Linked DNA regions of Bombyx mori. The protein of the gene in region 2 interacts with the protein of the main gene of each other region in a pairwise test. Links are inferred from orthologs where the notes say so. Each region holds a gene or a part of one and is shown on either strand. Other genes may lie near its edges.

What was found.
Region 1: the proteins of survival motor neuron protein (region 2) and Tm interact in binary tests that used the Drosophila melanogaster proteins (3 or more experiments, as listed by UniProt). The link is inferred for Bombyx mori from reciprocal best matches to the Drosophila melanogaster genes Smn and Rpp20.

What each region holds. Positions count from the first base shown.
Region 1 is NC_085114.1:11,855,174-11,858,698, reverse strand, and holds Tm (Tm protein), read right to left. Parts: upstream 2,026-3,525; 5' UTR 2,025-2,025; intron 1,954-2,024; 5' UTR 1,953-1,953; coding exon of another isoform or gene 1,784-1,952; intron 1,618-1,783; coding exon of another isoform or gene 1,505-1,617; 5' UTR 1,492-1,504; coding exon 1,084-1,491; 3' UTR 795-1,083; downstream 1-794. Other genes in the region: uncharacterized protein LOC101739983, read left to right, coding at 3,259-3,320, 3,447-3,525. UniProt on the Drosophila melanogaster protein: Component of ribonuclease P, a protein complex that generates mature tRNA molecules by cleaving their 5'-ends. Also a component of RNase MRP complex, which cleaves pre-rRNA sequences.
Region 2 is NC_085127.1:12,736,968-12,740,807, forward strand, and holds part of survival motor neuron protein, read right to left. Parts: intron 461-3,840; coding exon 319-460; intron 1-318. UniProt on the Drosophila melanogaster protein: Core component of the survival motor neuron (SMN) complex that plays an essential role in spliceosomal small nuclear ribonucleoprotein (snRNP) assembly in the cytoplasm, is required for pre-mRNA splicing in the nucleus and acts as a chaperone that discriminates target and non-target RNAs of Sm proteins.

The DNA.
Region 1 (3,525 bases), on a different chromosome or scaffold from region 2:
ATGCCCAATGCTTAGGATTTTCTTCTGCAGTATTACTGGTGTGAAAGTGTTCTATGGTCTCATGTTTTACAATTATATCAAAACTAAAGCATCTATACATTCATGAGAAAAGTGTTACAGCCTTTGCCTTTGCAAGAAAATCAAACTGATTACATTATTTTATGTACTTTTTATGTGAAGTTTGAAACAAGTTTTGTCCAATAGATCAATGATGTTAGATGTTTAAATCTTACTAGTCATTACTCTTGTTTTTTCGGGCCGAAGGCCAATCTCCCACGAGGTCCCCGCGCCTAGTTGGCGCGCGGGGTATGTGGGACTTGATCTGCAGGTCTTGGGAGCAGACCGCGGCTAAGGAATTTTATGGGCCCTACCGCACTAAGCGACCCCCTGCACTCTTACACCCGACGTCCGATCTCCGTCCGGAGTCAGAACCCGGTCAGACTAGGGGGGTTCCCGCGGTCAACACTACAACCAGACACGCGGCGCCACCCCCGAGGACGCCAGACCGACGGGCCGTCGAGGCGATTTTGAAGTCGTCCTGGCCTAAAGGATAAGACGTCTGGTGCATTCGTATGTAGCGATGTCTCGATGTTCGAAATTCGAATCCCGCAGGCGGGTACCAATTTTTCTATTGAAATACGTACTTAATAAGTTTACCTTGTGCAAATAGCACTTTATGGTACATAGGCAAAGACAGAAAGTATAATTATACAGCCTTTAATCTCAAACAGTCACATTATATAAAAAAATCATTAAAAGAATATGAGTCTTGAGGTTTTGAATAAAAAATAGTATTTAATTAGTTGTTTAAATTTTATTGCTATGTCATAAATGGCCAAAAAAATCAGAAACAAATGGATATGAATTTAAAATGTGTTTTGGTTTCAGGTGTAAACATTTTCAAAGTAACATAAGTAAATAGCTCTCTATTTGTATGTCTCAGTCAGATTATGCTACAAAGCTTATTTACAATAGCGTAGTTGTCAGTTTACTTGAAAAAAATGAAACATACAGATATAATTATGATTATAGTACAACAATATTTATGTCCATAAATATAAGAGCATCTTTTGGTTAAGAATGTTATTGATGTAATTGACATGCACGTACTGCTATCAATTGTAACAATATAAATAATGGTGCAAAAACTTCACTGTATTCTATAGCCGAATCACCTTGTAGTTTTCTACAAAGTAAAAATTTGAAAACAAATGTTAGCCCTAAAAATATTCCACTCCAAGATGCTCTATATAAAGAAGCTTTATAAGAATTTTCCAGATTCATTCTTATGCATACAATACAGCAAAAGTATGCATTCATCGCATCACTCACAAACAAAGGTGCAAATATTGTCCACCATGCACTATTCAATACACCATCAATTTTAAGAGCTAACAGTACAGAAAATATAGTGAGCGTTATAAGATTGATCCATATTTCAAATACAGTAAGTCCAATCCATTGCACAATCTCATTTAGTGTAAAAAACATTATCACCCTTTCACTAGTTTTGATTAGATCCGAGCATTGCTGTCCTAAATATTCTTATGTGGATGGATGATGAATGTCGTATTTGTGAGCCAAAATCTAGTTCATCAGTCAGTGGCTCTAGATCATCTGTAAAAGATTAATGGCATATAAGCAAAGATATGATAGATTTATTTTTCCGATGTATTTATTGTAAGTTAGATTTGACAAAACCATTCAAATGAATATAGTTACTGGAGTGGTATACTTAGTATTTGTTGCTCACTATATAACTTCAGGAAATTTGGTAACTCACCAACTAGGTCTACAGATCCAGTGTTTACTTCGATTTGACAGGTGCCTGAAAATAGAATTTCCAGCTGAAGTGCCAAATTACAGCATCTCTGTATTGCCGCGCCTAGACCATGAAGTATTATCTCCTTTTCTCCTCTTGTTAGTAAATCGCAACATTTATCTAGTTGTGCCTGTAAATTAAGAAATATTTAATATCAGTGCTTACATAGTATAATGGGATGTTTTGATGTTTTTCGGTTTTACTTTAAAGTTCGTCTTCTTCGTAATAAACAACACATTGTCTCCATTTACTGGCCTAGGTGGTAAACGCTTTTTAAGAGCATAATTCTTATTAGGATAGCGTTTTTGCTTTTTCTTCGTTTCTTCTTTCTTCTGTAGACTGTTAGGATCTGCCATCACATCTGCCATAATATTTATAACCTCTGAATATTGACAGGTGTCAAAACTGACATAATGCCAAATCAAACCGTTTAATAGAAAAGTCACTAGGTACCTACCAACATAGGTACCTAATTAAATAAACCTGAAAAATACAAAATTAACGAAATCAATTAATTTCCATAACTTTTGTCATCGCCACTTACGTGATTATTTGGATGATGTTACCTGAAGAATCTTTGGCGGGAATGAGAGGAGAGAGTTGTGTGAATTGTGTTATTTTGTTAATTAAGTGTTTCTTTAGGTTTAAATCTGTAATAACGGTGGCTTGTTAGCTGTTTCATTTAATTTCATTCCATTTGATTAGAGTTGCAAATTAGAACACTTCATCTCATTTCGCTTCATATCATTTTTCACATAACAGATTACGTACCTAAATTAAACGTACACAATTGAAGATTCCTATAAACTCGACATTGGCAACAATAATTTAACGCAGCCAACAAGCTAATATCATTTAATAATTGTAGTGCATTTTTTTTGCTTAGGTGGACGGACGAGCTCACTGCTCGTCTGGTGTTGAGTGGTTACTGGAGCTCATAGACATCAACAACACAAATGTCGCCATACATACCGACAAACGAGGATGTTTAGTAAAAATAATTAACAAAGCTGACTTGCTTAATTTTAATTTTGTAATCCAAAACAAACTCAACTTTTCATAAAATCGATAATTAATAATATAATATAATTATTTTAAACATTAATTTTAAATTAAGCTTTTATATAACTATCAAAATATAAATATAATAATTTATTAAATCGATGTATCGGATTATAGCAAGGTTGATGCTAAAGTTGATGCAAAAATAGGAAATTAGTGTTTTAAGCCTGTTGACTTGTGTCACCGATGCTGACAAACAACAAGCAATCATAATCAATACGTTTTCGTTGTTGGATGATAACAAAATCATGTTTGCAGAATTTTAAAAATTGTTGGCTTATTTATCTGAATATCAAATGGATTGACAAATGATTTCATGAAATGTAGTTGATTGTACTCCTAATCATTTAAAATTTTATGTTTAATGAATCAAAATGGGTTGTGTATGTTGCTCGTTAAGTTCTTTTGTATCCATAATTCTTGATGCCCTGGAAAGGTAATTTTTATGTCAAACTTGTTTTCATATAAAAATTCTAAATGACGATCAAGAATTTGTCAATGAGTACAGATTTTTTTTTTCTTGTTGATATACCTACATACATAAAACGACTTCTTTTATCAGAGTATCATTGTGGACAGTATGCGCAATGCTAACATGTTGTTTGATGCTGACCATTCTAACCGTCACCATCATGGGCATC
Region 2 (3,840 bases):
ACCAATAATGTAAAAAGGTAACCAATAAAGGTAAAGGTAACCAATATGTAAGAAAAAAATAATAAACCTAAAAACTTGTATATCAAATGTATCTCGAAAATGTTGTTGGCGAGGTTCAGGCGTCATAGCTACCTGTTACACATTTATTTACTATATATACAAATACATTCCACATATTTTACAATAAACTTGTTAAAGTTAACAAATTGCATGTGACTGTGCAGCTATGTTATGTTGGCAACTGCCAAGCTGCGGCAAAATAGTTGCATCTTAAATTATTATTAATAGATAGCTTGCGGTAAGTATTAAATATGATACCTTTGTTACCATGCTCTGTATTAGTAGACATTGCTACTCTCTTTGCGACTTCAGCGTTTGCCATTTTCAGTGCTTTGTCGTACGCATCATTCAATTTCTTGTCGTCCCACACATCTTCCTCTTCTTCTTCTTCAGTTTCAGACTGAAATCAAACAGTAAAATCGGTTGTTATTTTAAAGGTAGGTAAGTAAAAATTTATATTTTAGAATATGATACTCGCTATATTCATTCCCCTAACGTACAAAATTTCGCTTTTAGACATTTTGATGTGGATTGTAAATTAGATACTCTTTTAAGTATTTTTTTGTATTTAAATTTTCTTTTAGCTAGAATTTTGTTTCTAATGTAAATTGAAAATTATGCTTTGACACTTGATGTTACAGAGACTTGACAGTGAGTTCTATTTTCCAACAGTAAAGGCAGAGATATCACAACGTACAGCTTAATCTTTTGTAAATTTTTTTTAAATCTTCAATTTTACGCCATTTACGACATCATAGGATCTTAGACTTGACATTTGATGAAGACGAATAATTGTTTGTTTGTTATGTATGTACATTGGACAGGCAAAGAGAAACTAGACGATTTATCTAAATTTTTTACAACAAAGGTCGAAAACAGAACTGCTGGGAAACTGTGGAATTATAAACATATCTATAATTTAATGTAATCGGATCATGTGAAGCGAGAACACAGTAAGTGTTGAACAAGATTATATGAGATGATTTCTCAAGAAATTGTGGGAAATGAAGTTAATGAAATTTTTTACAGTACACGAGACGTTCAGTGACTTTGTTTCATTTTTTCAAACATTCTCCATAACAGGTTTTTCACCATTTCGCTCCGAAACTTTTTTTTCCTAAAACAGAGTATCCATGGAAAGTTTGATTTTTCATGTCCTTGACACTTGCAATGTAATCGTAAGACACCCATTGTGTTGGCGACATGGAGTTAATAAGTACCTACAACAGTAACTCTATGGTTGGCGATTTCACGTGTTTGTATGTGACAGGCAAATATTAAAACTACTTTCTAGTAAGAGGTTTGTTGAGTATGCGGTGTGTGCGACAAAAAAGTATTTTTTGTTTCAACAAGACAAACATTAATATTATTTTTCGAATGTTCCCTTCATTTGCGCTAAAAGTGTGACAAAGTCCATGTAGGTACGGGTAAAAGGGACAAAATAGGGCTATTTCTTTTAATTTCGTTGATTGAGAAGCTTGAAACTTTCTAGCTTTTTCTGCCATAAGTCTTACCGTCTGATAATGATTTCAACTTAACACTTCTGGTTGTTTCTCAGAAGAACGGATTTAAGTGTAGGACAGACAGATGGACGGACGAACAGCAAAGAAATTATGTTAGAGTCCATTTTACTCTTTTGGAACAGAACTCTAAAAAATATATTTTCGTTGAACATTATTTATGGCAATACTGTTTATTTTTTTACTCAAGATTTGTGTCGCATCCATTACTTGCTCACCTTTGTACGGACATTATTACCCGATACATCACTAGATAAAATATTTCAGTAACGCTCTTCGCGACCGTCATTATTCAAGCTGCATTATCATAGCGTCGTTTACATCATTGAAATATTCTCAAGAGGGTCCCTATGTCGTTACGAGAACCACAGTAATGATGTGTTTGATAGTCGATCATCACTCCAACCATTGAATGGAAGAAAAATAGCATGGATACATTGTTGTGAAAAATTTAGATAGGCTGATTTTTTTCTATTTTCGTGTGTTGTATTTATCGATTTTGCACCAAAGTCAATGATTATAAGATGGGACCTCCGTTTCGAACAGATATGTTAAAAATATTTATATATATTTTAGTAACGTCTGAAAATAGAGCTGCCATAAAATCAATAGAGATAATTTAGGAGGTATCTAAGGCAGATAATTAAACATTAAGTGTTGGTGTGTGACGAAAAAAGGAAGAAATACAGAAAGGCATAACTAAACTAGCCAGATTTATGTGAGGTATAAATATAACACTTGTTGTAGAACTGGGAGTTAGAACTAACGTATTAAAGTGGGTGGCGGCATTTACGTCTATCTATAGGCTATAGTAACTATTTCACATCACACGAGCCGAGAGCTTGTCCATTCATCTACGTAAATAATAATATGCAAATAAAAAACATTCAAATTGGCCAATGGCACCGCTCACACTGAAACAAAAGTTTCTGTTACTGAAATAAGATTATTAAACTACACCAATACAGGGATTTCGAATCCTAATATTTAGTCTCCAACCAGAAATCCGTTTACCGGTGATCAGGGTCACCGACCATTAAATCTAAGAAGTGATTGAAAATTTAGAGAAAAGATCTATCCGATGATTTACAAGCGAAGCAAATTATCCCTTAGAAATAACCCACAGACACAGCCCACTGAGTTTCTCGCCGGATCTTCTCAGTGGGTCGCGTTTCCGATCCGGTGGTAGATTCTACGAAGCACGGCGCTTGCGAGGGTTCGTGTTAGTAATATCGTCCGGTTTTAGCCCCGTGAGCTCACCTACTAGCCCGGTGATGCTGATATTGTCTTTCTAGACCATCAGCATAGATAAAAAAAAAATAGAAAAGAAAGTGCTTCAAATAAAAGCACAAAACATTTATTTAAAACATTTTGTGCTCCTTAACGAATTAGTATGAGAGAAAATTTTCAAATTTCACGTCACATAAACAATACTATAACTAAATTATTTCCAGTGAAATAGCCTGTCTGTAAGAAGAGTGTCCAATTTGTTGCGGGAGCTTCGCTGCCGCCGGACGCTCCCCTTTCCAATGAAGATTTGCCTACAACTATAGGTTGCTTATTAATACGGCAATGGAATTCTAAAAATAGCTAAACTAAATTAGAATGACTATTTTTAGACAGAAGGGTCGTATTTCATCTACTACTCTCTGAAACAACGTCAGTATTTAAGGCAGAGGTTATATTACGTACGTTTTCTAATTGAGCGCAAGGGAATGTTTCATATCACATTCTCTAAATTCGTGGCAAAATGTCTTTTAATAAGGCACGCAGGTGTTCGTTTAGGGGTAATGAACTCAACTGAGTCGGTCTGTATAAAATTCGAAACTTAAAAAGGTTTTTTTTTCTTAATGACGTATTGTTGTAATGCAATATTCTCATTTGAGGGATCGGATGATCGATTCTTATTGGATAAGACACCCTAGTCTCAAACGACGTTTCTATGTGAAACGTGATTCAAATCCTTGTAGGACACTTGCGGTTTACTTTCTAAGCAAAATAAATGTGTATGTACGTCGTGTAATAACATCGAACCCATATATTTGACACGTTCGTAAATTTTTTTGCGCTAGTCCAATAAGCTTTTCGTAAAATAATGTTTTTGTTCCGGTCACACGACAGCATCTGTGGTAAGATAATAGAATAAAAATACCGGATGATGTAGGCTTTACTTCCCTGACACACATATTATTATGGTTTATGAGTATAGCCCGATATTTTTACTTCTGTCCGTTCACGAATCAAATTTAGTTCAGGGACA